Linked DNA regions of Coturnix japonica. The protein of the gene in region 1 interacts with the protein of each later gene in a biochemical or structural test. Links are inferred from orthologs where the notes say so. Each region holds a gene or a part of one and is shown on either strand. Other genes may lie near its edges. The genes, in order: CUL3, KCTD17, COPS5, DCUN1D3, PEF1 and DCUN1D5.

The links.
Region 2: the proteins of CUL3 (region 1) and KCTD17 form a complex in vitro, tested with the Homo sapiens proteins (3 studies listed by BioGRID). The link is inferred for Coturnix japonica from reciprocal best matches to the Homo sapiens genes CUL3 and KCTD17.
Region 3: of the proteins of CUL3 (region 1) and COPS5, one has a biochemical effect on the other in vitro, tested with the Homo sapiens proteins (2 studies listed by BioGRID). The link is inferred for Coturnix japonica from reciprocal best matches to the Homo sapiens genes CUL3 and COPS5.
Region 4: the proteins of CUL3 (region 1) and DCUN1D3 form a complex in vitro, tested with the Homo sapiens proteins (3 studies listed by BioGRID, with this or other methods). The link is inferred for Coturnix japonica from reciprocal best matches to the Homo sapiens genes CUL3 and DCUN1D3.
Region 5: the proteins of CUL3 (region 1) and PEF1 form a complex in vitro, tested with the Homo sapiens proteins (2 studies listed by BioGRID). The link is inferred for Coturnix japonica from reciprocal best matches to the Homo sapiens genes CUL3 and PEF1.
Region 6: the proteins of CUL3 (region 1) and DCUN1D5 form a complex in vitro, tested with the Homo sapiens proteins (2 studies listed by BioGRID, with this or other methods). The link is inferred for Coturnix japonica from reciprocal best matches to the Homo sapiens genes CUL3 and DCUN1D5.

The regions. Positions count from the first base shown.
Region 1 is NC_029524.1:6,977,598-6,981,984, forward strand, and holds part of CUL3 (cullin-3), read right to left. Parts: intron 3,564-4,387; coding exon 3,403-3,563; intron 2,264-3,402; coding exon 2,149-2,263; intron 1,546-2,148; coding exon 1,317-1,545; intron 1-1,316. UniProt on the Homo sapiens protein: Core component of multiple cullin-RING-based BCR (BTB-CUL3-RBX1) E3 ubiquitin-protein ligase complexes which mediate the ubiquitination and subsequent proteasomal degradation of target proteins.
Region 2 is NC_029516.1:47,001,893-47,006,896, forward strand, and holds the start of KCTD17 (BTB/POZ domain-containing protein KCTD17), read right to left. Parts: upstream 3,428-5,004; 5' UTR 2,646-3,427; coding exon 2,436-2,645; intron 1,962-2,435; coding exon 1,853-1,961; intron 101-1,852; coding exon 9-100; intron 1-8. UniProt on the Homo sapiens protein: Substrate-adapter for CUL3-RING ubiquitin ligase complexes which mediates the ubiquitination and subsequent proteasomal degradation of TCHP, a protein involved in ciliogenesis down-regulation.
Region 3 is NC_029517.1:104,428,581-104,432,967, forward strand, and holds part of COPS5 (COP9 signalosome complex subunit 5), read right to left. Parts: intron 1,325-4,387; coding exon 1,213-1,324; intron 1,126-1,212; coding exon 977-1,125; intron 398-976; coding exon 313-397; 3' UTR 1-312. UniProt on the Homo sapiens protein: Probable protease subunit of the COP9 signalosome complex (CSN), a complex involved in various cellular and developmental processes.
Region 4 is NC_029529.1:12,709,085-12,713,944, forward strand, and holds the start of DCUN1D3 (DCN1-like protein 3), read right to left. Parts: upstream 2,982-4,860; 5' UTR 2,876-2,981; exon of another isoform or gene 2,601-2,875; intron 2,595-2,600; exon of another isoform or gene 2,474-2,594; intron 2,391-2,473; exon of another isoform or gene 2,304-2,390; intron 1,870-2,303; exon of another isoform or gene 1,619-1,869; intron 1-1,618. Other genes in the region: LYRM1 (LYR motif-containing protein 1), read left to right, coding at 3,189-3,437, 3,891-3,983, 4,519-4,635. UniProt on the Homo sapiens protein: Contributes to the neddylation of all cullins by transferring NEDD8 from N-terminally acetylated NEDD8-conjugating E2s enzyme to different cullin C-terminal domain-RBX complexes and may play a role in the cell cycle progression by regulating the SCF ubiquitin E3 ligase complex, after UV damage.
Region 5 is NC_029538.1:4,368,833-4,373,850, forward strand, and holds PEF1 (peflin), read right to left. Parts: upstream 3,484-5,018; 5' UTR 3,370-3,483; coding exon 3,162-3,369; intron 2,958-3,161; coding exon 2,814-2,957; intron 2,041-2,813; coding exon 1,811-2,040; 3' UTR 1,107-1,810; downstream 1-1,106. Other genes in the region: collagen alpha-1(XVI) chain, read right to left, coding at 4,167-4,369, 4,448-4,525, 4,616-4,792, 4,864-4,930. UniProt on the Homo sapiens protein: Calcium-binding protein that acts as an adapter that bridges unrelated proteins or stabilizes weak protein-protein complexes in response to calcium.
Region 6 is NC_029516.1:163,126,479-163,130,865, reverse strand, and holds part of DCUN1D5 (DCN1-like protein 5), read right to left. Parts: intron 3,758-4,387; coding exon 3,666-3,757; intron 1,596-3,665; coding exon 1,525-1,595; intron 1,327-1,524; coding exon 1,235-1,326; intron 1-1,234. UniProt on the Homo sapiens protein: Contributes to the neddylation of all cullins by transferring NEDD8 from N-terminally acetylated NEDD8-conjugating E2s enzyme to different cullin C-terminal domain-RBX complexes which is necessary for the activation of cullin-RING E3 ubiquitin ligases (CRLs).

The DNA.
Region 1 (4,387 bases):
TCACTCATTCGAGAGACAAAAGCATCCTGTAACAGCTTAGGTACTGGATGGAAACTTTTGCCCCCTTTTCTTTACTTTCACCAAAATCCCTTTTATTTGTGCTATTATAAGAATGTATCTTCTAAGTCTACCATCCCAAAATCAAATATGATGTTAAAACAAATAAGACAATATGAATGAGATACTTTTATAAAGCAAAAAACAAACCCACAAAACCAGTAAAAACATGAGTTTAATTTGCATTTGTTTAGCTGAACTTAATTTATACTGTCTTAAAGGAATAACTGCATAAATTCTCACTACTTTGTTTCATATACCTAAAATCAGGAGAACTGACTTAGCTTAAAGATGGCTTTTGAAGAGGAAGCCTTGTACACCTCTTATGTAAAAAACTTCACAGCTATATTAAACCAATGCCTATAAATGTTATATTAATTCTTGTATGTTGTAAATGCCCTTCAATATCCTTGTCCTCTCACCCTGAAGCCTATCTTAATTGGATATTAATGAAAAAAGGTTAAGTATAGTATCATCTTTCCATACAGAAATGCTCTTTTCTTACAGCTAAGAAATTTGCTCACTTTATCACTCTGACTACCACCTAATTATGAAGCTACTTCAAGGAACAAAAGCCATTTATCCAAACAGTAAGTCTGTTCCCATTCTCGATGTTTTAGTATGAAGCCTGATTTCTAAAAATAGGTACTACAATCACTCTTCATTACACTGTTTCAGAAGTGTAGGTTCTCCTTCTATAAAAATGTGCATTCAGTTGCTGTCTCACAGTAACCTACACTATAGAAAACCTTACCAAACCAAATCCTTCTTTTTCAGTCACTTAGAAAATATTTTTCATCCTTTAAAATTAACACTTTTTTCCTGCAGTAAATCCTTTTTCCCCAAAAAAATCAATCATGCAATTCCATGTCATTTACTCTATCACTTTTATACTGCACCACCCCCTGAGAAAAACCCCACAAAACAGTGATGCATTTTAAAAGCTATACACTGTAGGCACAAAAGCAATAAAATGGCTCACAGAGAGCAGGTAATCAAGCACAGCACAAAAGGTGAATATTTATTCTTAAGAAATGCTTAGCTTACAAAAAACCAAGTCATTATTTGGCACTAAACAGAAACAAGTTCTATATACAATCAGTGTCCTAAAAGCTCTCTAAATCCTCTGAAGTACCATTTGCAGAGGTGTGCAAAAGAAAGCCAAACAGGAACACAAAAGTTAAGCTCAGTTTATCCTATGTTTAAAAACAACAAGCAGTATGGTAAGCATTTCTGTCTCCCATATGATATAGTCTTACCTTCTGTCTTCCCATTTTTCAGCATATGAACTAGCCCAGAGTTCTCCATTTCCACTATAGTTTTCATATGCTTGGAAATAAGCTCCCTCTCAACAACTTTCACAATTGGCTCTTCTGTTGATTTATCCAGACAGTGCATCACCCGTTCTATTTCTTCATTAATTCTAGCTTCTACTTTCTTTATATATACAGAAGCACTGTTTTCAGCTAAAAATTTCTGACTTTCCATCTGTGATTAACACAAATTAATACTTTAGACTTCTTGTATTTTAAGGAGGAAAAAATGAAATATACTGGTTATTTCAGATCAGCATTCATTAACAAGTTAAATCACTCCGGCACATCCAACAAGCAAGACCTCCAAGAGTTACATATATGCTTAACACAATAAAAGTTCTACTACACTCATTGTGCTATGTAGGTTTGAGGGTACATGAATATAAGTGTGGTATTCTCCATGCTAAAGTGAGCACAATCAGCCTAATATCCAGTGACCAACAGGAGTTAGAGCTACAGGTCCAACGAAAATAAAGACGGGAGAAGCAAAAAGTAAAATCTCTTTTCAAATACCAGTCTATGTCATATTTACGAATTATATGCATCAATGGTTTTCTCATTATTCTTAAGAATGACAATGCTCACAGTTAAATTATGTTAATTATGTGAAATAAGTGTTTCTTTTTCCTCAAAGTTAGTCACACTTCTTATTTCATTTAACAAAGATTGACATTACTCGTCGAATAAACAGTAGTTACTTAAGGTACCACTAACTCTTATGATTCCATGCAATTACAAGAGAATTCCAAATAGGGTAATTACAAGACTGCTGTACCTGAAAAAATTCTGCAGACATCTCCAAAAATGGAGCCTCAAAGTCTTCTTCATAGACTGACCTTCCTTCAAGACCTAGAATCATTAACATCTGGCAAGCATTTCTTATTGCGCCTCTGCCAAAAGTAAGTTGTTAACAACTTCAGAAATCAACATAACACAGGGAGTACGTATAGCAAAATAACAATTTTTAACTTAAAATGTACTAATAAAAAGTCTGTCCTACATCTGTTTGTTGCACCAGAGGTTTTCCAGATGGCAGTAAGACTATCACTGTTTAAAACTAAGGAGCTGACAACACATAATATTTTAAATAGGAAAGCAGATCTCAAGTTCTACCAATTCTGAAAACTATTAACAGGAATATATTTCTCCACACCGGAAAATAAACAAGGAACACTGAAAACTGCATGTGTAGGTTAGTAGTAAACAAGACAGTTGCACAGATGGATGGTGCCATGCAGAGTATGAAAACACACCTGCAATTTAAGCATCTGTTTAGGCATAAACATGCTGATAACATTCAAAAACAAAAGAACTGTATCTATGAAAAAATTTCATTTCTGGCAGCAGGGGACAATATACAGCTGTTGCCAACATGTATTTTTCTCTTCATAAACTGTATGTTGGGCAATCCCAATTACAGAACTGCAGCCAAAGTAGCATGAAGTTTACATATCTCCACACCCAACAGCTGTTCTGAAACTGGAGAAACGCAAAAAAACTTGCAAACTTCGAGTTACTTCACATGCAGCATCTGAAGCTCATGCTGTCAAACCACTTCCACAAATATGGCAAGAGAACATGAAGAACAGATTTTAAAGCCGAGAGATAACTGAACTGGGTTAAAACATTAGGAATGGAAATGGAAGACTAAAAGATAACTTCAAAAATCAAATAAAGCAGGTAGAGGAAAGTTAAGCAGCCTCTCAGTACAGAGGACAAGCAGGACGACAACAAGGGGCAGAGAACTGTCAAACCTCTGCTTTATAATAGAATGCTATGACAGAAGGTGGTAACGGAGAGACTTAACAAAAACTTCAATAAACATCTCAAGATTAGCATTAGAAATGTATTAATGAGTGTATCCATTTACCATTATTTTAAGTTTGCTAAAAAGTAAAAATGTGGGGTTTTTTCCATGTTATGAAGAAACTTTCGCTTAAGTAATGATTTAGCTGTGCACATTTGTGATTCACTCAAGGATTGCTAAGTGTCATTTGCAACAGCAGACAGTCACTTACAAACATCTTACCTGTCTACAACCTCTCCTTTCCTTTCTCTTGCAATCATATCCAGCAGAGTTTGCCGTAAGTGATCTCTAATACAGCCATAACGTACAACTTGATCTCGAAAAATAATCAAACCCAAGTTGTAGACGTTCTCCACGTTATTTTGTTGTACGTAGACACGGTCCTACAATGAAGGCACACAAAGCAAAGACACTTTGAATTCATCATGCCCAGGTTATTCAGAAATGGAAGAGACCAGTCACACTGGTGCTGTACACATATAATCAAGTGAATCCCCTTTCTTCTCATTATTAAAAGGAAGCAACCTCAGGATCAGACCAATTTACCAAAACTTTATTTAATAGGGAGCCTATATTGCTTAAGACCGTAAGCACAGCATTTATAACTAAGCCAAGCAAGAACAAATTCACAACCCCTGACACTTTTTCAGTTGGAGAGTAGGGGAGCCCCCAAACATTCAGAAAAATCATAGAATAATCTGAAAGCTTTTTATGTATCTACTTAATTCCCTTCCATCCACATCCTTTATCTTCTGTAAAGTTATTTTTTCTCTATCTGCCACTCATAATTCCATCGCTCGATTTCACAGTTCATCCTCATTATTTAATGAGGCTTCTTGAAATAGTATCATTAGCTGAACAGAAGTAAAGCCAAAATAAGAATAATTACAGTCAAAGTTTATCAACAGCTAATGCAAATTGTTTAAAAGGGCTCCTGTTGGACCCATGTTAGAAAGTTCACTCCCTTTCAACCTGAGCAAGTATCATGAAATGTTGTTATATAAATCTATACTAAGCATAACAATTATTCTACCTCCCTATTCAGTCTGCTTGACCATCCTCTAGCCCTCTATTGCATACACTTACTAATCTGGGCTGATGCTCAGAACAGCAGTCCAAGACTGCATAGCATAATCACCACCATGCAGTTCATATAAAACTATATATAAAACTATTCAAACACAAAAAATCAAACTTTTGGTTTTTT
Region 2 (5,004 bases), on another chromosome or scaffold:
AACCATACCTGAGTCACTGTGTAGTCTTTCTCCTCCAGTCGATCCTTAATTATCCGGATTAAAGGGCCGATGTTATAGAACTCTGCTTCTTCCAGGACCCCTAAGAAAGAATGACAGAGAAACCACAAAGTTAACAGCCAGATTGTTTTGCAAGCCAAAAAAACAACTCTAAATACACTTCCCTAAGTTATGACCCTTGGATGAAATGATACTCAAGCCTTGCTCAGAACTTGCTCTCTGCGGTAAAGGTTTGAAACCTTTACCGCAGAGAATTGAGAACTGGCTCTCATGTTGTGTTCTACTGCTCACCCCAACTTCTTTATGCTGCCTACTACTACAGAAACAGTGCAGGTTGGTACCAAGGTCTGCTACTATATTCCCAGGGAAGAGGAGGATTTCCCTGAGAATCCAAAATCAACTTTCAGATTACAGGCCAAGGAGAATAAATGTAGGATCCATGCTCTCAGTGACCACTAGTTTTTGTTTTGTTCCAGCCCTCTTTGGAAGGCAGGGAACCGCAATTTGTTCTGACTTCTCCAGCAAAAGAAAATTTCATCCTTCCTCCCAGGCCTGTTAGAGTTGCATCCCTGTATGACTTCAGTCTTTGGTTCTCTCACCCATGCTTCATCACAAAGCAGGCAAACAGAGAACTGTTTTGAGTTTTCTGCATGGTATCTGCATCCTTCACCCCTCCTGAGATACTACTGCTTGCTAACAAGCCATCAGGGAAAGGGAGGTGAGTTCTCAGTGGGTTAGTGAGGGGAAGGAGGCCAGGAACCGACATTCATGGGTACCCAGATCAGCGTGCAGACAATGCTGGTATGGGTTTGATCCTTCTCTACCTGAGAACTCAGAATAAGTCCCTCATTCAGCCATTCAGCCATACCCTCTAACAGGTTGGTTTCATGCCAGCCTGTCCTGTGGCAGGAGCAAAAGAAAGCTGTGAACAGAACAAGAACTCCTGTTTACGTTTCAGATCTGGTGTTAAAAGCCTCGGCTGAACTCTGTCTGACACGAGGGTGACAACCAATGATAAGTAAGAAACATCTCTGAATGGTGTTTATTACAATTCTGTACTATTTCTTAGATATATATTTTTTGCATTATAAGTCATAAAATGATTCTGAATAAAACACTCCTTGGTAAAAATATGTAAGGGAGGCAAGAAGGCTAATGAACCTGCAGAAACTGTGCTTGGCAAGGGCTGGACAGCACAGCCTGTCTTTGAAATTGGCTGCTTGTTAGTCCCTAACATCCAAAAAATAATGAGGCACTGGGGATCGCTGGCTCGTAACACCATGATGATGTTACTGAGTTATCCTATTGGACTCCCTGTCAACATCAAATGAGGGATTGGTTTGTTTGGCTTGCTCCACTGGAATTGCTGCAGTCCACAACCCATCAGAGCACTATTAGCATACATTACGTGTCACTGATTAATTATGGGGTTTATTACAGTCAGTTGGTCTGTTTGGTCTTCTGGGTTTTCACTCCTAATTAGAAACACTCAGTCATTAGTACAAACCTCAGTCACAAAGCCTGGTTAAAAGTGTATCAGGAACAGGTAATAAAACAGTTTTTCATGGATGAGAGACCTAGTCTGCTTCCATCTCCGTGACACCTTTGCTCAACTAACAGCCATAAGGACTCAATATATGCAGGATCCCTTCTCCACCTGCTCCATTCCCACTTAGAGAAGGAAACATGCTTTCCAAGAGCTGCAAGGATGGCCTTCTCAAATCTCCCACACCAATCTTCAGAAGGATAACAAAAGACAAGGAGGTCAACTACAAACCCTACTGTGCTGCTCCAGCAATGGTTAAGTGGTAAGTTTCTGAGCTCCAAGACTCACCCTCTTCAGCCATATCTTTATCCAGGACCAGCTTCCCATGGCGGAGGAAATTCAGGATGGGCCCAAAGTAAGTAGGGTCCCGGTCTATTAGATATGCACCAGTCTCATCCTATCAACAAGAGGTAGACCATGAGATGAAAAGCACGGGGTATCTTGACCTGCACCTACCTGCAACATCTCTATAATAGACTATAGCCAAGACAGTTTCACTCAGATATTAACTCCTGCATTATTATGCTCAGAATGTCCATCTCAGCATGACCTCAGGCTCCTGCAACTATAAGTACAGGCCTGGTGTGAGGAAGCTGAAATCCCTCGAAGTGAAAAAAGGGTTGAGTCAGGCTGCTACATCTGGGGAGTACCCTCAGGGTATACACGGTGATGGAGCAGCAGGGGTGCAGGGGACTGGGCTACAACACAGCCAGGAAGTATCTGGCAAGAGAAGTTTCTCGCTAGGATAAGGGGAGAAAATGAAGGTATTTTTCTCTGGGTTATTCCTACAGCTGTTGGGATCTGACTCCAGCCCTGCAGCCCTCCCCGTGCTCAGAAGGGCATGGTGCAGGAGGCAATACAGCTGCCTTACCCGATCCGATTGCAGCTCCTCGCCCTGGCACAAGCGACACAGGAAAGATTTCTGCTCCCGGCACAGGGTCTGCCTGGTGGTAAGGAAGACGGTGCCCCCCACATTGAGCCTCACCCACTTGGCCTGGGCATCAATGGGGGGTGGGTCCCAGCCGCAGCGTAGCCCCATTGCGCCCTTCATCTCTTCCCCGCCCTCCATCCACATCCTCATCCCCCCTGGCACGCAGGGACTGCCGCAGGTGCTGCCTGCCAGGGAATGCTGGGATCTGTAGTTAGTCTGCTCTCCTTCCGCAGCAGCCGTGTTTCCCTTAGGGGCAAGAATCCTCCCTGCGTCTGCCCAGGGAGACTCCAGGGCGAGAAGGATGCTTAGTGCTGCAGTTATTAGGGGTGGGTAAAACCACTGTCTCAACGCTCCTTGGCTTTTCCTCCGTTTCGGTTTTCACTAACCGAGGGCTGGGCAGCACTTTGAAAGTATGGGGAGCGATGCAAAATTCCTCAGCAATTACTTCCACGTACACCCTCCCTCCCCGGCTCATGAAAAGGTTCTGGGAACTGTAGTTTGCAGGGATGTGCACAAAAGGGTGCTGGGAACTGTAGTTTTTCCAGCCTGCTGTCCCCACACAAGGGGATGCTGTAATACATTACCCTGAAACTACAGCTAATCATTTGCTTGCTTTGAGTTGCAAATCTAGCAGGCAAGCGTCCCTGGAGTCAGAAAGAAGGTCTCTGATCTCTGGCAGTCAGCAGACTAAGCCCATCAGCACTGCTCTCCGCAGCTTTCCCTCCAGGAGATACATTACCCCAGGCTCACAGCACAGCGCTGCATCAGTTGCTACACTGTTCTTGCTGCAAAATGTGCAGGCAGTTGTCTTCTTGCTAACATATGTAGGGACTCTTCTGGGAACGGTATCTTGGATCTGCACGAAGTGCTGGCAGGGGGGCAGGAACAATTTTTCTTCTGACTCAGAAGAGTCACTGATTCAGCAAATGTTCCCCTTCTCCCCTCCCCCCAACCCCACCCCCCTCCTCCCTGTATGGTTCTACAGTCACAAACCATTCCAGAGACCACCAGCTATTTCCCAGCTCTGATGTTGTCTTGGCTGCAAAGAGCTCAGATTTTAACCCTGCCCTGCATGGATCTTCACCTCTGCCTCAGGCATACCGCATGCTGATACCAATGTGTCAATTGCTCCTTGCTGAGCACAGCCCTGCCTCTGCCACTCCTCCTGCCAAGTCAAGCATGGAGCTCGGCAGCTCATACCCATGGGACTCCATTCAAATGCACTCCTTGGCATGGACATGACCTGAATAAGTTATTTCTCCAGCAGCTCTGCTTTTTCCTCTCCCTCTGAAACACAATTGTGCTTGCCAGCAGCTCAGGCACATTGGGGATGAAAAGGAAAAGCTGACGCTTCACCTGAATGTGGCCCAAAGTCTTCCTTCACCTGAAACAACTCCGTGGCTCCTCCTTGCCAGGGCAATGCAGCACTGCAGGAACGCCGTTTGCCCTGTGGACGCTTCGTTCTTTCACCTAGATCTTGGGTCTTTCCAGGCGGGAGTTACTGGGGGAGAGGGGGTGGAAAAAAGACAAAGATCGTGCTTTACTCACATTTCTTTTCCTCATCCTCTCTTTTCTTGCGCTTAAAAATCACTCCCTTTTATCATCACAGAACGTGAGCATAGCATCACCCTTCCCCCCAGTTACCCAGAATTCTCTTCACAAAGATGGTATAACTGCACTTTGCTCCTTCAGTGCAGGAATGCAAAGCAGAGGGGGGAAAGCAAAGGTAACAAGGAAAAGGTTTTGAAATTGCTGACCTCCAGTTTAATTTAAGCACATGAACAAATCATCTGCTGCAGGGTCTCCTTTAATTTACATTGAGAGCTTGCCAGCTCTATGGTGACTATTAATAGGGAGAGAGTAATTCTTTTTTTATTTATTTATTTTCCTATTTGCATTGAGCAGGTCCATTAATAAATTAATCCCCAGCCCCTGGACCACTCTCCTCTGAGCAGCAGAAGACATCAAGGATGCTCAGACTGTCACCAACCTGAGGTGAAGCATCAGACAGTACAACATAACTCTGGGCTGTGAGACTGTTTCCTTCCTACCTCTGGCTCTGAGTCAAGCCACAGCATATGTGAGAGCTTTGCATTACACTCTGGTGTGTTAGGAATATGAGATCCTGTCAGCTCTGCCCACAGCTGCAGCAGACAAGGGAGGACTGTGGCTCCCTGATATGAATGCAGCGGTTGAAGGTGGCAACCTACTGCCCCTTATCTTCCCCTCCAAGAAATCTGCCCTGCCTTTGTTTTGTTCCTTTTTCTACAAAGGGTCCAAATTGCCTCCCTTTCCTCCAAGCCTGTTTCACAGCCCCTCAGTCTCTCTCTCCATTTTAGATACAATCCCTTGTTTTTGATGCCTTTTCCAATCTCTCCCATGCCAGAGCTGCTCATGGGTCAGAAATGGCCTGTATTCAGAACACACCTTCTTCCATCAATGTTAGTTGCCATCTGTAGCCAACCCTTGCTCACCCCAGGCCAATGGGGTGAAAGGCAAGTAATTCAAT
Region 3 (4,387 bases), on another chromosome or scaffold:
TTTCAAACTGTTTTATTACAATTAGGTACTAGAGATAAATAATTCAGACCAAAATCCAGTAAGTCACATTTATTTTCCTTTTGGAGCAAGTCTCAAAACTGGTTGTGTCTTATGGTAAAGAACAAAAAGTTACATTACATTTCAGAACGTTTTGTTCTTTAAAGCCGGTCGGACAGGTGGGGAATATTAAAGTACTACAATTTAAATGAATAATTTTCCACTTCAGATCCCTTTCCCAAATTGAACAAGTCCAAGTGAAAGAAACCATAACTTTTTTCTGCTTTGGAGATTCATATCAGCTAGCGATGCATTTCAAGCTATATTAATTTGATTAAAAAGTTTATCCTTAATAACCTGAGACATCAATCCATGTATAGCTTCTATGGTGGTCTTGCAGCTGAAAAACAAGCATAAATTCAATGTTGGCTAAAGACCGAACTAAACTGTCATTTTATTTAAAGATATTCAGCTGTTTTGGAAGTTCAGGGTGCCCATAACCCCATGAATCTTCACAACTGTCCAGAAAAGAAAAGTCACACACTGCAATTCAGCCACTGTTGCCAATAGCTCTGAATGCAAACTGATGGGCTCTAGACACACAAAGGCCAATTCCAGGGAACTTGGTTAGCAATGTAGGGCATCTTATGTTAACGACAGAAAGTGAGCTCTGCAGTCTTCTGAACAACAACAAAATCCCCAGCAGTCCAGGAGAAGAGAGCTACTGCCTTTTATCAATGCTCGAAGGTTCTCACCCTTCCCACCCTATCCCAACCTCAACGGTTCTTAATTTTTAAATGAAAGTTTTACACAAGTGTTTCTCAAACTTTCAAAAAGAACTGGTCATATCTGGAGCCTCTCATTCCTATCCATAGCCTTCCAGGATATGATTTTATTGGTTAGTTACTACTAAGGACTTGATAATTAAAGTTTAAAACTAACACTTTTCAGGGAGGAATGCATGTATTCATTGTCTTACCTGTCTCTTGTTGCTTTAGCAAGTTTGTCCTCTGATTTCTTATCGTGAGTCTCTAAACCCAGCATAAAACTGCCCCGTCCAAGCTGAGCTTCCGACTGTTCTAATTTTTCAGACAAATCGAAGACTTGGCCAGTGGTGTAGTCAGCATTCTTAGGAGAAAGAAAACAATTATCTTTCTGAGTTCTAAGCTATGAATTCAAACATTTATACATATTTATGCACATTATGGTACTTACAGTAAGCAAACTAGAAGAGCTGAGAGTGTTCACCCAGTACTTGTTCCACAGAAGCTCAAGCAATTTACGATCCAAAGATGATTTGAAGTAAGAGACTTCTAATGCATAATACCTTTAAAAACAAATATGCACACAACAAAATTCCATATAAATATATCTTGTTTGGCTCTAACACCCAAATAACATCCATCTGAAAAAGTCTTTATTAGTGGCAAATATCTTCAGAAATTCAAGGTATTAAACAATAAAAGTTACTTTCACTTCTAACTCTAACTCTACAAGATGTTTTGCAAGTATTTCATATAAAGCTTTAATAAAAGTTTACACAATCCCTATACATACTGCTGTTTTATTTAAGAGACTGCAAGTGTTTCTGTTAATTTTGTAAATGCTTGTTGTACAATCCAATGATGCACTGTACAGTAAGGAGGATCCAGGGAACCACAGGCCTGATCTCCGTGCTGGGAAAGGTTATGGAGCAGATCATCTTGAGGGAGATCATACAGCATGAGCAGGACAAATGGGGGATCAGGCCTAGCCAGCATGGGTTCATCAACTGCAGGTCCTGCTTGACCAACCTGATCTCCTGTGAGTGATCTGCCTGTTGGATGAGGGAAAGGCTGCTAGCTGGACTTCAGCTAAGCCTTCTACACTGTTTCCTGTAGTATTCTCCTGTAGAAGGTGGCAGCCCATGGCTTAGGTACACCGTGTTGGGTAAAGAACTGGCTGGAAGGCCAGGTCCAGAGAGTGATGGTGAATGGAGCTAAATCCAGCTGGTGATTGGTCACAAATGGTTTCACTGGGGGTCAGTACTAGGGCCAGTCCTGTTCAATATCTTTACCGATGACCTGGATGAGGGCATTGAGTGCACCCTCAGTAAGCCTGCAGATAACACAAGTCGGCAGGAAGTGTGGATCTGCCTGGGGGTAGGAAGGTCCTACAGACAGATCTGGACAGGCTGGATAACTGGGCTGAAGCCAGCGGGATGAGGATCAACAAGACCAAGTGCTGGGTCCTGCTCTTTGGCCACAACAACCCCAGGCAGTGCTACAGCCTTGGGGCAGAGTGACTGGAAAACTCTGTAGAGGAAATGGACCTGAGGGTATCAGACAATGCATTGCTGAACATGAGTCAGGAGTGTGTCCAGGTGGCCGAGGCCAATGGCATTCTGGCTAGTACCAGAAATAGCGTTGCTAGTAGGAGAAGGGAAGCTTGTCCCTCTGTACTCAGCACTACAAGAAAGATACTGAGGCCCTGGAGTGTGCTCAGAGAAAGGTAACAAAGCTGGTGAGGTGTCTGCAGCACAAGACTTATGAGGAGTGGTAGGAGGAACTGGGATTGTTTAGTCTGGAGAAGAGGTGGCTCAGGGGAGACCTTACTGCTCCCTACAACTACCTGAAGGGAAGATGTGGTGAGGTGGAGGTTGGCCTCCTTTCCCATCTAACTAGTGACAGGACTAGAGGGAATGGCCTCAAGTTGTGTCAGGGGAGATTCAGGCTGGACGTTAGGAAATACTTCCTCTCCAAGAGAGTGATCAGGCACTGGAATGGGCTGATCAGGGAGGCTATGGATCCACTGACCCTGGAGGTGTTCAAGAAGTGTTAAGGTGTTGTACTGAGGGACATGGTTTAGTGCAACTATCGGTGATAGGATGGTTGGACTAGATGACCTTGGAAGTCTTTTCCAACCTTGGTGATTCTATGGCTCTTCAATACTGTAATTTTTTAATAGCAGATCACTAATTTTGTGATCTAATTCAATTAGGAACATTTGATAGCAGTAAATGTTACTAACGGACAAATAATTTTGTCATACCATACTTGTTTTTAAAGTCAAACTTTGCTGGTACTACGCAATTCATAAGATCTGACTACGTAGACAGAAAGCTGAGCTCTGTGTAGATGAATTACAGCAACATTCAAGTTATGCTAGATTTTATTTTGATCACTAAACTCTTCAGAAAGCTACCAATAAACATATCATTGCTTAATTTCTATGCAAAGTTACTGTTACTATGAAACAACTAGTAGTGACTAGACTATCAAATAGAGAGGACCATCATTCAAATTGGCTACATTTTAAATCTGTAGTGCAACTACCCATACTACTGAGAGGAAGCCATCATTCTAATCATTTGCAATCAGTAGTTCAGTAATGTGCCAAAATTCCAGTTTAAATTCCATCTTTTTCCCTAACTGCTGTTTCTTCCCTAGGGAAGACTGGAAAATATTTTCTTTGGATGGCAAGAAATAGCTTGTACGATAAGCCAGCTTCCTGAGATGAAGGTTATGATGGTAAATATTAAGCACTGCCAACTTAAAGAAGGAAAAAAAGCAACAAAAAACCAACAGTAAATCCCACAGCAAAACCCCCAAATAAGCAAATGAACTCTCCCAAACTGACCACTTCAAATAAAGATAAAACACACCTTCCACTCATACGTTAATATATACCAACGTTTATGGGCAGTGTCCATACAAGCACTATTCTGAAGCGACAGATTCATTACTAAAAAGATTTCTGTGTAGCCACTGCTCTGGAATTTTCTCAGTTTGGATAGGAAAATCAATTCTCAATTGTAATAATTTCTTGATATCTTGAGAGTCCAACTCCGCATGCAGCTATAAATGCACTACAAATAGATATCCATGCACCAAAACCATGGAAAAAAAAACAGGCAACGGCCTACATCACATCCATGAACCTACACGGTGTCAGTGAGATCTCAGAAGTTTTCTGTACACAGTTCCTTAAACTGCAGGGCTCGTCAAACACTTGAAGGTGGAATCAAAACCAGCATGGAAGGAGCAATCCCATCTTTCTCTTGCTGATCCCTGGAGGCATTCAAGGTGAGGCTGGATGGGGCCTCGAGCAGCCTGAGCTAGTGGGTGGCAACTCTGCCTGTGGGTGTTGGAACTGGATGGTCTTTAACATCCCTTCCAACCCAAGCTACTCTATGAATCTTCCCAAATACTGCATCTCCATCATCTGCCTCTACCTTAGCTTAACCAGCAAGAACATATGTACTGCTGCAAATTGGATCAGATCAGGGGACTGACCTGGCAAAACAAATGCTTTTCCATGTAAGTACATGTATGTATGAAGCGAGGAACAAGTGACAGGGTGCTAGGAGAATGGTTAAAATTAAACTGCCTTTAAAATACATGGAAATGTA
Region 4 (4,860 bases), on another chromosome or scaffold:
ACCTTCATTTCCACAGACCAGTGTGCCTGATGGAACAAAGACAGCGCTCCTGCATCTTACAACTTTGCACACAAACAGCCAAGGCCCCAGGGCGTGTCTGCAGTGCCCCAAGGTTCTACATCAGCATGGGGCACTTCTGAGCAGTACTGGGATACTCACTTTCCTGCTGACTCGCAGGCATACATCTGTCCATATCCAAACTCATCATTTTCTGCCATGAGCAAATCTAACTTCACAACGTCTGAAGGTTTAGAGTAGTCATTTCTATTCCTTTTTCTTCCACTGCCATTCCTCCCTACCTTACATTGCCCTGCCCAGCACACATCCACAGAACATATACGATTTTCTACATGGTCCTCAAGTAGAAGCAAAGAAATTGGTGGAATGGAGCCTCACCTTCATCCACATGCAAATCCACCACAACAAACCCCTTTGTGCTAGAAGTCAGTCAAACTGTTTGGTAGCTTCCCTTCCTCAGTACAGAGCTCTTTATCTAATTTTAACTAATGACTTCCAAAATAGCTCTTCTGGGTTTTGCCTCAAAAATCAGCCTTTCAATTCATCTGATTTCCTTTTGTATTATCCATGCAAAATAGAAGACATAATTACCAACGAATTTCCAAGATCAATAAGAACAAGTGAGGCAAAATTTTCTATGAACATGGCAATGTGCAACTCAAAAACACAGTAAGGGAGCAGCAGGGAAGGCATCTAACTCAGCAGATAACGAATTATATCACAGGTGATCAGTCTCAAGAAGAAAGTGGTTTCAAAGTATCACATTGAGCTGTGTACTCTTCTGTTAATAGTTTTGCCAAATTATTTAAGGATTATCCTAATTTGTGCTGGTATAAAACTTGATTTTAGAAAACAATCAGAATTTCAGAAATCCTTCCAAGAGAAGATGCAGCAAATTCATGATGCCGGTTCTGCAGGCATGAACTAATTCCACACAGATCACAAGTTCTTTTTCTGCTGATGTGCAGAGTCTTTGCTTCAGGCTGCGCGTTGCCTGTCACTAAAAGGGCTACAAGGCCTTCCCACACACCATTAGCACGTGTGCAGAGGAGGTGTAAGGTTTAAGACGAACCCTAGAACTGACAAGAAGGTAAAGCCAGACCTCTCCATGCTCACACGTATCTGTTTGTCCTTCAGAGGAACTCCTCAGAGCAGGAAAACATGCAGCAGAGTTCAGAAGCACTCAAAGAACAGCAGCCCTCAGACATTCCCTCTTTCCATTGCCAGCCCAAAGAAAACAGTAAGATCTCAGTCACACATCAACTGTTTAGCAAAGAGGTTCTCGGGCATATGAGCAGTGTGTGCCTACAAGAGACGCCTTTTGACCAATGGCTCCCCCAAAAAAGAAAGAACACACAAGGACTGGAGTCTGATACAAAGGCCTGACAGACATTTCAGGAACCACAAGCCAGTTCTGCACTTTGGGGCCACAGCTCGGCCCTTCTGAGCACTTTGCCTGCCCTCCCTTCAAACTATACTATGGATGGTATCATTTAAAGTGAAGTTACAGCTGTGGATCAGTGCTGTATGTGAGTAGCTGGGCTCCCACTCATCAGTTATCAAAGAAACACTTTGAAGGATAGCACCATTAACTACTTACAGTGTAAGAAATAAAAGGCTTTTTCCAGCACTGTCTCTGCTTCCCAGCAACGCTCCCCTGGAGCCGCGCGGCTGCAGGCCCAGGGGCCGGGGCAGCACTGCGGGCACGGCCCGGTAACGTGCTCAGAGCGGCACCGAGAGCCGAAGGGAGAACGGAACCCGCAGCGGGTGCGTTCGGACGGCGCAGAACCGGCTCCTGGGCCGATCCAGGCGCTTCCTTGCATTCAGCCCGGCTTTCCCTCAGTCCGCCGGCCACTCACCTGCAGCGCCGGGGCCGCGTGCGGAGACCGCCCGAGCGGAGCGGCCACCGCCGGGGGCGGCTCGGACGGATGGCGGCAGCCCCCAGCGGCGCCCGGCCCCGCCCGACCCACGGCTCGTGCTGCGGCTCCGGGGCTGCAGCTCCGCACGGACGGACGGGCCGCCCCGCAACGCGGCTCCGGGCCGGGCCCAGCGGCGGCTGCAGCTCGAGGGGCTGAAGGGACGGGCCGCCGGCAGGGGAAGGCGGCAGCGGCGGCCGAGGGACACGCACGGGGCTGACGCCCGGCCCGGCCCGCCGCGTCCCCGGGGGCGGCACAGCACGGTACGGTACAGCACGGCACGGCACGGCACGGGACCGAGGCACGACACAGCACGGTACGGTTCGGTTCGGTACGGCACAGCTCGGCACGGCCCCGCGGGGCACTCACCGCGATCCCGGCGAGGCTGCGTCCCTCCGCATCACTTCCGGGCCAGCAGTCAGCTGGCGCCGTGACGTCACGCGGCGCGACCGGCGCAGCACGAACCGGGAGGGCACAGGGCGGGGAAGAACGGGAGCAGCGGGGCGGGGAGAGGCACGAAAGGACACGGCACGGGACCGAGGCACGGCACGGCACGGCACGGCACGGTGCGGGGCTGAGAGCGCGGCCTGGAGGGAGCCTGTGCCCGGAGGTGCCGCGGGCGCTGCGGGCGGGAGGTCGGCGCTGGTTCCGCCGCTGCGGGTAAGGCCGGCCCGGGCGGCAGGGGCAGATCGCACCGTACACACAACAGCGGCATTTCGGGCCTCGTTTCTGACGCCGGCTCTTGGTGCGGGCTCAGCGGGCAGACGGCGCCACAACGACCGGGGCGCTCAGGACCCCCCTCGCTCACAGTCAGCACCTCGGAATCATCGCACGGCCAACGAGCTGCTCGGCACCTGGCACCGGTACCGCAGTCCACCCACCATCACCCACCATCACCCACCATCACCCACCATCACCCACCATCACCCACCACCACCCACCAGTGCTGTCATCGTGTGCGTGATTCCAGGTCTGGACACACAGCACAGACGGGGCAGCGCTGTTACAACACAGCGGAGACTCCTCCGAGTTTCGGTGACTCGCCCAACGCTGCGTGTTGCAAAACAGCAGTGACAGAAAGCACGGCCGGTCCTGAGCTGGTTCTCATTCAGCAGAGCACTGCATCGAGTGCTTGACTTGCAGCAGGAGCTCGGGCTGCTTGCATGGGGCAGATTTAAGTCTCAGTGCCAATACTTTGCTGGCTGGGTCTTCTGGTTTCAGCAGCTATTTCAGTTCATTCTTTAGGTGGTGGAGATGCTCTTAAGCATTGAATTGTGTTTAAAAGCAGTACACGTGGTGGTCGTTCACACAAACTGGGGCTCTTGTGGGGTTGGTCTGTTTCAGATGACAGCAGTCACACGACAAGAGGTGCTGGGCCTTTACCGCAAGATATTCCGGATAGCCAAGAAATGGCAGTCGGCATCAGGACAGGTGGAACAAACTGCTGCAGAGAGGGAGTACATTATAAAAGAAGCCAAAACGTTGTTCCGAAAAAACAAAGATGTGAGTGAGCGTCATTGCAGGTTTGAATTTCTGACCCCTTTCACTGTGCTTTGCTCACCCCCAGTGGGTGGATGCCAAGGTATGGAAATAAGAAATGATTTCCCAAAATTCCTTCCCCATAAATGCCAGTACAAACACATTCTAAGGCATATTTGAGTTACAGCTTATTATTTCAGGGGTCAAAATCTGTAAGAAAATTCAAACCCTCTGAGGTCTCCATAAACTCCTGTGGAAGGCCAGGCACGTCACCTCGAAGAGCACTCTCTGCTCTCACAATTCTGATAGCCTCTGGGCGCTGCTACTCAGAGCCATAGAGCTCAGCAGTGCAGATGTGAAAAACACCATCATTGTATCCTTGGAACTGCAAAAGGAAGGGAAAAAAAAGCTTGAATCTTGAAATGCTGATTTTTGTACTTGTGCAAAATATTTATTTTTAGCTCTCTGTTATCTTAGGTGACAGATCCGAAGCTGATTAAGCAGTGCATAGAAGAATGTGAGGCAAGAATAGAAATTGGACTTCACTACAACATCCCCTACCCGAGACCCGTGAGTATGTCTGTTCCCCACAGGTGCACCTTATTAGCTCCCATCTGACACTCAAATCATAGATCCATTCTACTGTCGTTGTGCCACACATCTCACCTCTGCTCAGGTGCTCTGCTAAATCAGAGCCAGGTGAGCTCTGAAAAAATCATCAGCACGCTGCTTTAAGACTTCAGCTTGGGACCTTAACAGGATTTCTGTGTCTTGCTGTTCTGGAATACTGCTTACAGGCATATTTCAACAATGTTATCGTCACAATCTGATTTCAGATTGCAGACCAGAATTAACAAAACCTCAAGTATGCAGGGTTTTCTTAAACCTGATGTTTAAGGCTGCAGAGTCGCTCCACTAATTGCTCTTCAGAGAGTTCTTTGCACAGAAATCTAATAACCTGGCTTCAGACAGCATGGTTGCCCTCTCCAATGAGTGAACGAGTGATTGAAACTCAATAAAATTGTCTGTATATGCTTCTTTTTTTTTTTTTTTTTTTTCTTTGTAGCATCTTTATTTGCACCTGACTTGGGATTTTCTATTCCAGATCCATCTGCCTCCCTTGGGCCTTGCCCAGAAACAAGGCCGTACGTTCCGACATCAGGAAAAGCTGAGGAAGATTTCTAAGCCAATATACCTGAAATCCCATGATGAAATTTCATAACCCATCGTTTCAGCTGTGATGTGCTGGGACTGCAGTGCAGGTGGTTTGTGCGCACAGCTGTGAATGAAGCTGTTCTGGTCACTTGCTACCACGTCACCTGGGGCCTCGCCAGAAAACTACGGATGTGATGCACGCCATGGCCAGGGCTGGGCTGGTATTAGTGACAGTTCAGCCACTGACTGATCAATAAAAGTGGCCCTTGGCAAGGAGTGAGGTTTGATACTT
Region 5 (5,018 bases), on another chromosome or scaffold:
ACTGCTGGGTGTGGGTACGTGGCCCCACTGCCCCAAGAGCCCCATCCTTATAGGAGCAGGCTCAGCCTCCCTCCCCATCCCGGAGCAGGGTCAGCACCTGGAAGTGCTGCACAGGGCTGATAAGGAGCACATTGTCTGCTTTCCTGTTTTGCTGGCACTGTGTGACCTCGGCCACAGGCTGCAGGGGCTGCAGGCACGCGCAGATGTACGGCCAGCACAGTGTCCCTGTGCTGGGAAAAGGGGGGGTAAAGCTTTGGGAGAGGGGATGGTGGGAGGGATTGGGTTGGGGAGGGACACCAACAGCCCCAGGGGGGAGATGGGGGCTGTCCCCAGGCTCTTAACCTTGTGCCACCCCATGTCTGTGCTCAGATCTGTATCCACATCACATAATCACAGGGGGTGGAAGCCCCCTGCTAAAGCAGGTTCACCTACATCAGTATTACCAGCACCGGCCCTTTAAAACTACTTTAAAGATAATCATTTGCAATGAGGAAACGTCACGGTCTGAGATCCTTCGTGCAGCTCTAAGCTGCACAAATAAACTGGAAATCAAACCTTCCAGAGCTCAGCTGCAGCCCAGCTCTCAGCCATTGAGTTCCCGTGCTCAGCTCTGCGCCTACATCCATCCCATGTTCACTCACGGGAGCAGAGCAGCCCTCAGCATTGAGTTTGGCTCCTTGGCTGGGCACTTTCTCTTTGCATTCCCACTGTTTTCACTGTTTTCCTTTGCATTCCCTCGGCTCTGAGCTCTGGCTGCGCCCCAACGTGGAGTGGGGCGGCACCTGGTGGCTGCAGCCTGCCCTACAGCCAACGTATGGATCACCATATAGAAACACCCGCACCTCTACCTATACATCTGTCCCTACAGACACCCCTATTAATACACACATGCAGGTATATCAGTGCATGCAGACAGGAGGTGTGTGTGATCCCACACAGCCCCTGCTGGGCGCCTGCTGCCAGCTGGCCAGAGCTGCAGCCTTGTCTGAAACAGCACAAAAGTCAGCTCCAAAAATAGAGCAGAACCAACTTTACTCACCAGAACAGAACTCCAAATATTGCTGGAATTGTTATTAGTGCTCACAAAGTCCCACCTGGGGCCAAAGTTGAGACAAATAACAGCGCTGTTATTTCTCCTCAGAGCACCAGAAAACGTTTTAACTCGTTCATAAAACACCCCCTTACCCTGAACAAAGAAACTCAGCTGTCACACAATGGTCAGGGTGCTGCTTCTCATCAAAGGCAATTAAAAGAACAACCCCACAACCATCATTTTAGGAGCACAGGGAAGAAAAACAACCCGAACCTTTTCAGTGTCGGCCTTCACTTTTGTGGCTGTATCTCAGAAGAAGGACAGCACTTCATTCCCTGGAGCCACGCAGCCATCGCCCCACAGACCAGCCAGGAAATGCTGCCAGGGCTCTTTTATTAGAGCTACAAAAATAAGCTGTAAACCGTTTCCAAGCTTGGCTTCCACAGGCAGAAAGAAATCAGTACAGACATTGGCAACGAGGGACCCAGTCCTGCCTGTGAGCATGAGGTGACCCTGGGTTTTGATACAACTCTGTGGCTGGCAGGGGAAGATCCAGGTGCTCCCAAAGGCACAGAGCTGTCCCCAGAGCCACAGCAGAGGATCAGAGCATGGCACAGGCTCACTCTTAGTTTGGTTGTCACTCATTGTGGCACAGCAAAGCCCTGCTGCAGCACAGAGGCACCCACCGCCATCCACTGGGGATGAGGAATAGACCAGGACCAGGACAGGACAGGGACCAGGACCAGGACAGCCACCATCCCCCCTTGGCCTCGTGTGTCACAACATGCGTGTTATGACCATGGTGAGGAAGTCCTCATAGCCGAGCCGCACGTTGCCCACCATCCCCGTGTCCTTCTCACGGAAGGCATCTGTCAGGCTCTGCAGCTGCATGCAGATGTGAATGAAGCGGTCGAGCTGGATGCTGGGGTTGGAGGATCTCTGGGCATAACGGGACAGCAGCAGCTGGCTGAACTGGGGGCTCAGGTTATAACCCATCTGGGAGAATGCTGGGAGTGAGAAACACACATTAAAGCCCTGCAAGGAGGGAGACAGTGCCCTCCCCACAGTGTGTTCCTGAAGGGCTTCTATCAGCAGCTGAGTGCAGGGAGGGTTATGGAGAGGGAGGAACCAAATCCAGGCGGGAATTCCAGACATTCTTCCCCTCCATGTGACGCACACACCCAGGAGCTCCTCCCAGAACACAGGGCTGAGACACATGCCAGCCATCGGGAAGGGCAACAAAAAAGGGCTTTCCCTAAGGAAGTTCACAGTACGGCTGGTTCAATGCGATGCAGGGGACACCTGGAAGCTCAGAGAGAACAGCAGGAAGGGGGCTGGAAGGGGGGGGGGGGGGGTCTCTGGATTGGCTATTAGGAATGGAATGTCTTCTGAAAGAGCGATCGGGTATTGGTACATATTCCCTCTCTACATTCCTGATGATGTTATCACCTCGGTTCCATCATTGCTCTCTTTGCCTTCCAGGTCCCCAAGGGCCACCAAGCTATGGGAAGATGGGTCCTCCAGGCCCTGTGGGGCAGCAGGGCACCCCTGGCATCCCCGGTCCCCTGGGTATCACGGGCTGTATCAGGTATTGGCACAGGCTGCCCAGGGAAGTGATGGAGTCACCATCCATGGGGTGGCCATGTGGCACTGAGGGACGCGGTTCAGCTGAACCAGATGCTCTTAGAGACCCTCAATGACTCACTGCTGGGCTGTAATGCTCATCAATCAGTCAGAGCTCCCTGTGTAACCCAGCTGTGTCCCCCCCCCCCTCACCCACCTTGCTGCAGCTCAGTGCAGCTGATGGATCCCGACTGGTCCCTGTCGTATTGCTGGAACAGGCTCCTCCATTGCTGGATGAAGCGAAGCAGCGCCGAGAAGCCGTACACGTCCATCCGACCCGACCTGCTGCTGTCAAACGTGTCTGCAAGGAAGGAAGGAAGGAGAACACATAGGGGGCAATGAGGGGGAGCATGGACCCCTTTAACATGGGGGGCAATGAGGGGAGCATGGACCCCTTTAACATAAGGGCACATAGAGGGAGCATGGCCCCTTTAACATGGGGGCAATGGGGGCATCATGGCCCCTTTATCCCCTCGCTGTGCCCATAGGCGCGGCCTGCACTCACTGATCATTAACAGACACGTCTCGTCGTTGAACGCCGACCAGTTGTTGTTGAGCAGCGCCTGTTTCAGCTCCTTCACCGAGATGGAGCCGCTGCGATCCGTGTCCACAGCCTGGAACCACGACAAGGCCTCGGGATCCACCCCGTGTGGGGCTCCGCCGCCATAATGGGCTCCGCTGTACGGCCCGGCCTGCCCCGGGAACGCCGCCATGTCTCCTCTTCCGCCCCGCACTTCCTGCTTCCGCCCCCGCACTTCCTGCTTCCGTTTGTCACTGGCGTTTCTCGGCTTCTATTGGTCAAATATAGCGGATGAGAGCGGAAGTCCCGCCCTCCCCATGGTGATATGGGGCATGTGATGGAGAGGCTTAAAGCGGCGATGGCAGCGGGGTGGGGCCCACTGAGCGCTGCGAGAGAGGAGGGGCTGGGGTCGGGGAATGGGACCCCCAGGAGGAGGGACAGGAACACAACAGGGCATCACAGTGCCGGCACTAGGGTGGGATTCTCCCATCAGACCCAGGATCATCATATCATCATCATCATCTCCATCACATCACCATCATCATCATCATCACCACTGGAGTTGGACTCAATGCTCCTTATGGGACCCATTGGGGATGTTCTATGATCTCCATTGTCAGTATCACATCATTGGCCTCACCATCATCACCAATGCCATCACCAATCTCAATGCCATCACCAATGCCATCACCAATCTCAATGCCATCACCCATGTCATCACCCCAACCCCCCCACCCCAATGGCCGCAGCAGGGCGCTGAGCTCAGCCCCACACACAGGGTTGGGCTGTTTAGATGAGACACCACACACGAGCAGTGGGGATGTGGGGCAGCAGCACGGCTGTATTTGGGCTGGGCAGGATCCACCTGCCCTACAACACCCACCCACCCACGGAACCAAACAGCACCCAACCCCCCCCCCCGGGACCAGCGCAGCCCCCTGGAAAACGGGGGCAAGAATAAGAGCAGCAGTGGGGCGCAGTGGGGCCGGCTCAGCCGAAGGGGCCCTTGGCATTCTTGGGCTGGAAGATTGGCTGCTCCATGGGCAGAGCTCCCATACAGTCCGCTGGGCTGCAGTGCCCTGTTTTGCCTGGTGGCCCCGTGGCACCCGGGGGACCGGGGATGCCAGGGATGCCCTGCTGCCCCACGGGGCCTGGAGGACCCATCTTCCCATAGCCTGGTGGGCCTTGGGGACCTGGAAGGCAAAGAGAGCAATGGTGGAACCGAGCTGATATAGCATCATCAGGAATGAAGAGAGGGAATGGGAACTCACCTGGGGGTCCTGGTGGGCCACTGTCCCCCATCAGCCCCATCCCCTTCTCCCCTTTCTCTCCTTTGGCTCCCGGCTCCCCTGGAGGAGAGATGTGAATGGTGAAACCCCACCACAGGGGACACCCCATAGGGGACACCCCAACACCTGGGGTCAGTGGGCAGCACATACCCCGCATGCCTGGCACTCCCTGCCGCCCCTCTCTGCCGATCTGCCCTGGCATCCCTGGGGATCCCGGGGGTCCCGGCCGTCCAGGCAGCCCATCCTTGCCAGGGGGACCCGGCCTGCCCGGGGCTGCCACCATCTCCACTGGGAAGTGCATCCGTGATGTGTAGTACGCCATGCGCTCTGCGGGGACAGGCGGCTCAGTGTGGGGCTGGAGGGGCACCAGCCCTTGTCCCTGTTGTCACCCCATTTACCATCAAACATCTTGTTAATCTCCTGCTGGATGAACCTTTTGATCTCGTCGTAATTCACCACGTCACCCTGGGGGGGGGATATGGAAAAGACACAACCACTGAGCCCTGGCTCTGTGCCCTGGACTCAAGCTCCTGCTCCTGAGCTGCCCCCCCAA
Region 6 (4,387 bases), on another chromosome or scaffold:
TCCTTCTCTTTCAAAATTTGTGTCAAGCCTCTAATTAGAACCTAGAGTCTCTCAACCCCTGCAGTCTTATTATGATCCCCTATTCCCAGTGAGCACAAAGAACACAATTCTACAGATTCATGCTTTTCGAAGTCATTGAGTCTTCAGCTCCTTTATGAGTGTCACATATGAGTGACCAGATGCTTAGTCTACAGCCTGGTACTAGCACAGATTGCACTGTTTTGCTTCCTCTGAGTAACTGTTTTAGGCTTAGGTAGGTGCTTTGATTACATCTGTTTATGTAGAAATGCACAAAAGTAAAGCATACACTTTTTGTCTTAAATGCATTACATCTATAGCAGGTTGAACTCTATTCTTAAAATGAAGATTTGGTCCTAACTACACTAGATTAGTGCAGACAGAAAAGTCTACAGTATTCAGAGTATCTCTAAAGAGCTGCCGTACTCAATACATATCTGTATTGGCTCTGAAGTGGTGCCATACTCCAGTGCTTGCTTTCTGCTAGACTGGTTGACTTTGAAGCCTTTTAGTTGATATAAAAATTAAGGTCTTCATAGAACTGACTTGTAGTCATTTACACAGTACATTTAAAAATGTATACAGTTTAACTGAACGTGGTATCACAACAAGTCACCCTTGAAAACATTAATGAATTGCAAGGTTCATAAATAACAAAACAACAGCTGAGTCAAGCCTCACCAAAAGCTCAGTAGTTACACAAATGAACATCTCTTCAGCATTAACAAAAATAACCCTAGTCACAGAAGGATTTGGGAAATCTACTTACAAACTGAAAAAGCATCATTCAACCTAAGCAATTAAGAATGGCTTCTAACCTGTACCTAGCAGACAACAACAATAACCAACAGATTATCAAAAATAGTTCTCATCTATGAAGCTTGGATATCAGTAACCAGCTTCTCAAAATACCGGTGCTGAGACAGAAGCATATCTGAGGTCTCCATGAACATGTGTATGATAACTGATACTTTAACACGCCATCAAGACCTGATTACGATAGACAAAACTTTTAGTGAAGTCATCAGATTCCCAATCTGATGAAATACAAAGTTACCTCCAGCTGGTGACTGAAACCAGACCTAAAAACCAAGAGTTTCTGTGTCTTTCTGCCAATGTGTAAGAAATAGTGGGCAAGATTCATTAAGCTACAGGTACAAAAATTTAATAGAATGTTCAAATTTGATATGTAAAAAACAAACAAAAACCCTCTTACTGTAATGAGGTCATCCCCTTTAACCATTCTTCCTTGGTAAAAAATCCCATGCTTTCAGCCTCTAGCTTCCAGGCTAAAACTAACATAATAATCTGGTGGAAACAAACAAGGGGAAAAAAACGGAGTTAGTATGTGAGAAAAAATTGATTTCCAGATTTCTAGTTTTCTATGAAGAAAACTCCAAGCATTCAAACAAGATACGCAACTCTTTGCTTACTGAACTGAAGAGACATACACAGAACTAAGTCTAATCCGGTAAAAGTGTGATTAGTATTGTGAAAGAAACCTACATTTTCAGGCTCAACACCAATGTCTTCGCAGAACTTTTCCATTCCTTCAGGCCCCACAACATCATCAGGACCTTCAGAACCAAAAACAACAAACCAAATTGAAACAGAAGTAATATTCAGTGAAATGTATATTACATTTGAATTACCACACTTCAAGGAAGAATTATACAATATTTTATACAAGCTATTTTTAAAAACACCGCATTACTTTATCGATTAGATTTTGTATTAGAGCCATTCTATCAGCTGCAACATGCAGACAGGTATGAAATACTTGTCAATGACATAACCATGAGGACCAAAAGAAAAATGCATATGGAATTGCTGTGAGCTGCCCTCCTAGAACGGCGCACAAACTATTTTACTTCACTTATGTGGGTTTTCAGAAGCATCCACTGAGCTTCACATAGACAAAGCTAAACTCAGCGAGTATCGTCTCTGCCCTATGAATAATGTTCTTCAAATAGTACTTCACAAGCACAAAAACACTACATCTGTCTGACTTACCATTACACATCCTACCCCTTCAATAGTGTTGCCATTATGGGTTTGCACTAACATAGTTATTATAAGAATTGTTATCTGCCATTAACCCTTTATGAATGAAACAGTATAATAAATCTGAAAAAAAAAAAAAAATGCTAGGCAAAAAGCAGTAAAAGCTTTGACTACAATGAAAGTAATGTAGCTGAGGCCAGAACAGACGATATTATGCTGTTACCTTTCGCTTTTAATATGAAGAAAGTCTAAAAAGGCAGCAATAGAGTGTATTTAAAGAGCACATATGGACACACTGCAAAATGTATCATTTCCCCGAATCCCTCTGGTTCCAGCTATTTCTGCTAAGCCTGTTCCAAAAACTACTACTTGTAGGCTGCCCAATATTATCAAAGGACTTGCTAGCATGCTATTTTGTGCACCATTGGGACCTTGACATTAACACTGTTTTAATGGATATAAGCCCATGTAAAAGGCAAAGGCTGTGTACCCCAAAACAAAATACCACAGAACATTTTGGGCAAATGCTGCTACTTCAGAAATCAGTAAATAATAAAAGGCTGCTCTGTCTCTCTGTTTAAATTACAAAAAGATACAAGGTGTGGCATATTTCGATTACTGGTTAACTAACAATTATGTTTCCATACAATGAATTCTTGATTCAACAACAATACAATGTATAAGCCTTAGCAAATTAAAGGCATTTGATTTACTTGCACATAAGAAAATTAAAAGCACAGAGAGGAAATCTTCCACAGGAAAGAGTTCAAAACAGTATGCCTCAAATCTAATGGAGAAAGCAATTACTAGAATCAAGACTAGTTCATTACTCTGGAAACAATGTCAGTACGGTATTGGCTTTGAATCATATATACTAAACCAATCCCTGGATGACAAAACACCACCTCATTTCACATTGAGAACTGAGCCAATAAACAGTTTTAGTCACCAATTAGTTACAGTGGACTTCAGTGACTACGTCAGAAAAGATACTGATCACAGTTTACAGATACAGAATTTCTAGTCACATGATTAGTAAACAAGCTGCAACAATTGTTTAGTAAGTGCTGCAATATACATTAGACATTTACTAAGGCAGCTACTACTTGGGTAGCGAGTTAATTTTTTCACAAGAGGGTACTTCTAGTGTTTGTGAATGAGACACTGGTTATTTATGACACCAAATATGTTAGCACAGATTCTCAGCACAACCAGTACAAGCACCTACCAGCCTTTACTAAAAGATGAGAACACAGAGCTTAAATCATTAACTGTTATTCCATTATCATTCTGATCTGGTTACAAACAAGATCACTGGAGAAATAAATTTCTATCTAAATGCCCACAGTCCCAACTTCTACTTGTCCTTTTCTAATCAGCAGTAGAATCCCTCAGTTCAACACTGTATACCATGCAGCATCAGTTATTTTATTTTGAAGAATGCCATGGAAAATTATAAAGCACAGAGAAAGAGGAGAAAAACAAAGTCAGATAATCCCCGAGAAAGTGTTAGTAAGAGCCATATGAATTCATGTGTATATGGACATACCTATATTTCCATGAGGACATAAAGCAAAACACAAATAATATTTGACACATTGATTTGTTTTAAACATTTTAAGTATGTATACAGTGCATATTACCTGCATATTCATGAAACCATGCTAGGCACTTCTTGCTTGAAAAATGCTCCTCTCCACTTATTACTTTACCAGGGGTTTGTGACCTGCAATAGCTTATAGAAACAGAAGGACACGAAGTGTTATTTTAATATGAGAAATGGGAAACCAGTTATATTCTGTTTATTTTTACTTGCAATTAAGTCAACTGATTCATGAAAAAAGCTTAATTTAAGAGGCAATTGTCAGTCGTGCTATTGCAACACTCACTGGAACAAGAAATTACCTTGAAATGCAACCTTACCTTAGTCTGACTTATCCCAGCTGTTACTTTTGCTGAGATGCTGAAATACTGTTACCTGGTAGATATTAAACCAAAAATCCACATGCAGATGTCTGAACCATCACTGCTCAGTAATTCAAATGCCTTATCTACTTATATAAGACTTTAACATTGGTTTCTACTAAGCAGCATGATCTTCAGTCAAGGGTGCTGAAGATGCACAGATCCAATTTAGGTCATCAAAAGCTGTAGAGTTTGACATATTTAAAAGTCAGACCATTTATATTTAGGCACCCAAATCTGGGAAGAAAACTCGGTCAGATTGTTTATATTAAGCATGTAACTAAATCTCTAAGTTCTATGGCTGTTTGGCACAGACCAGAATAGTAATATACAAGCTTTGGAAAGACTCCAACTGCAGTGCACAGACAGCTCCCACCCCCTACATTACCTTCCTTACATG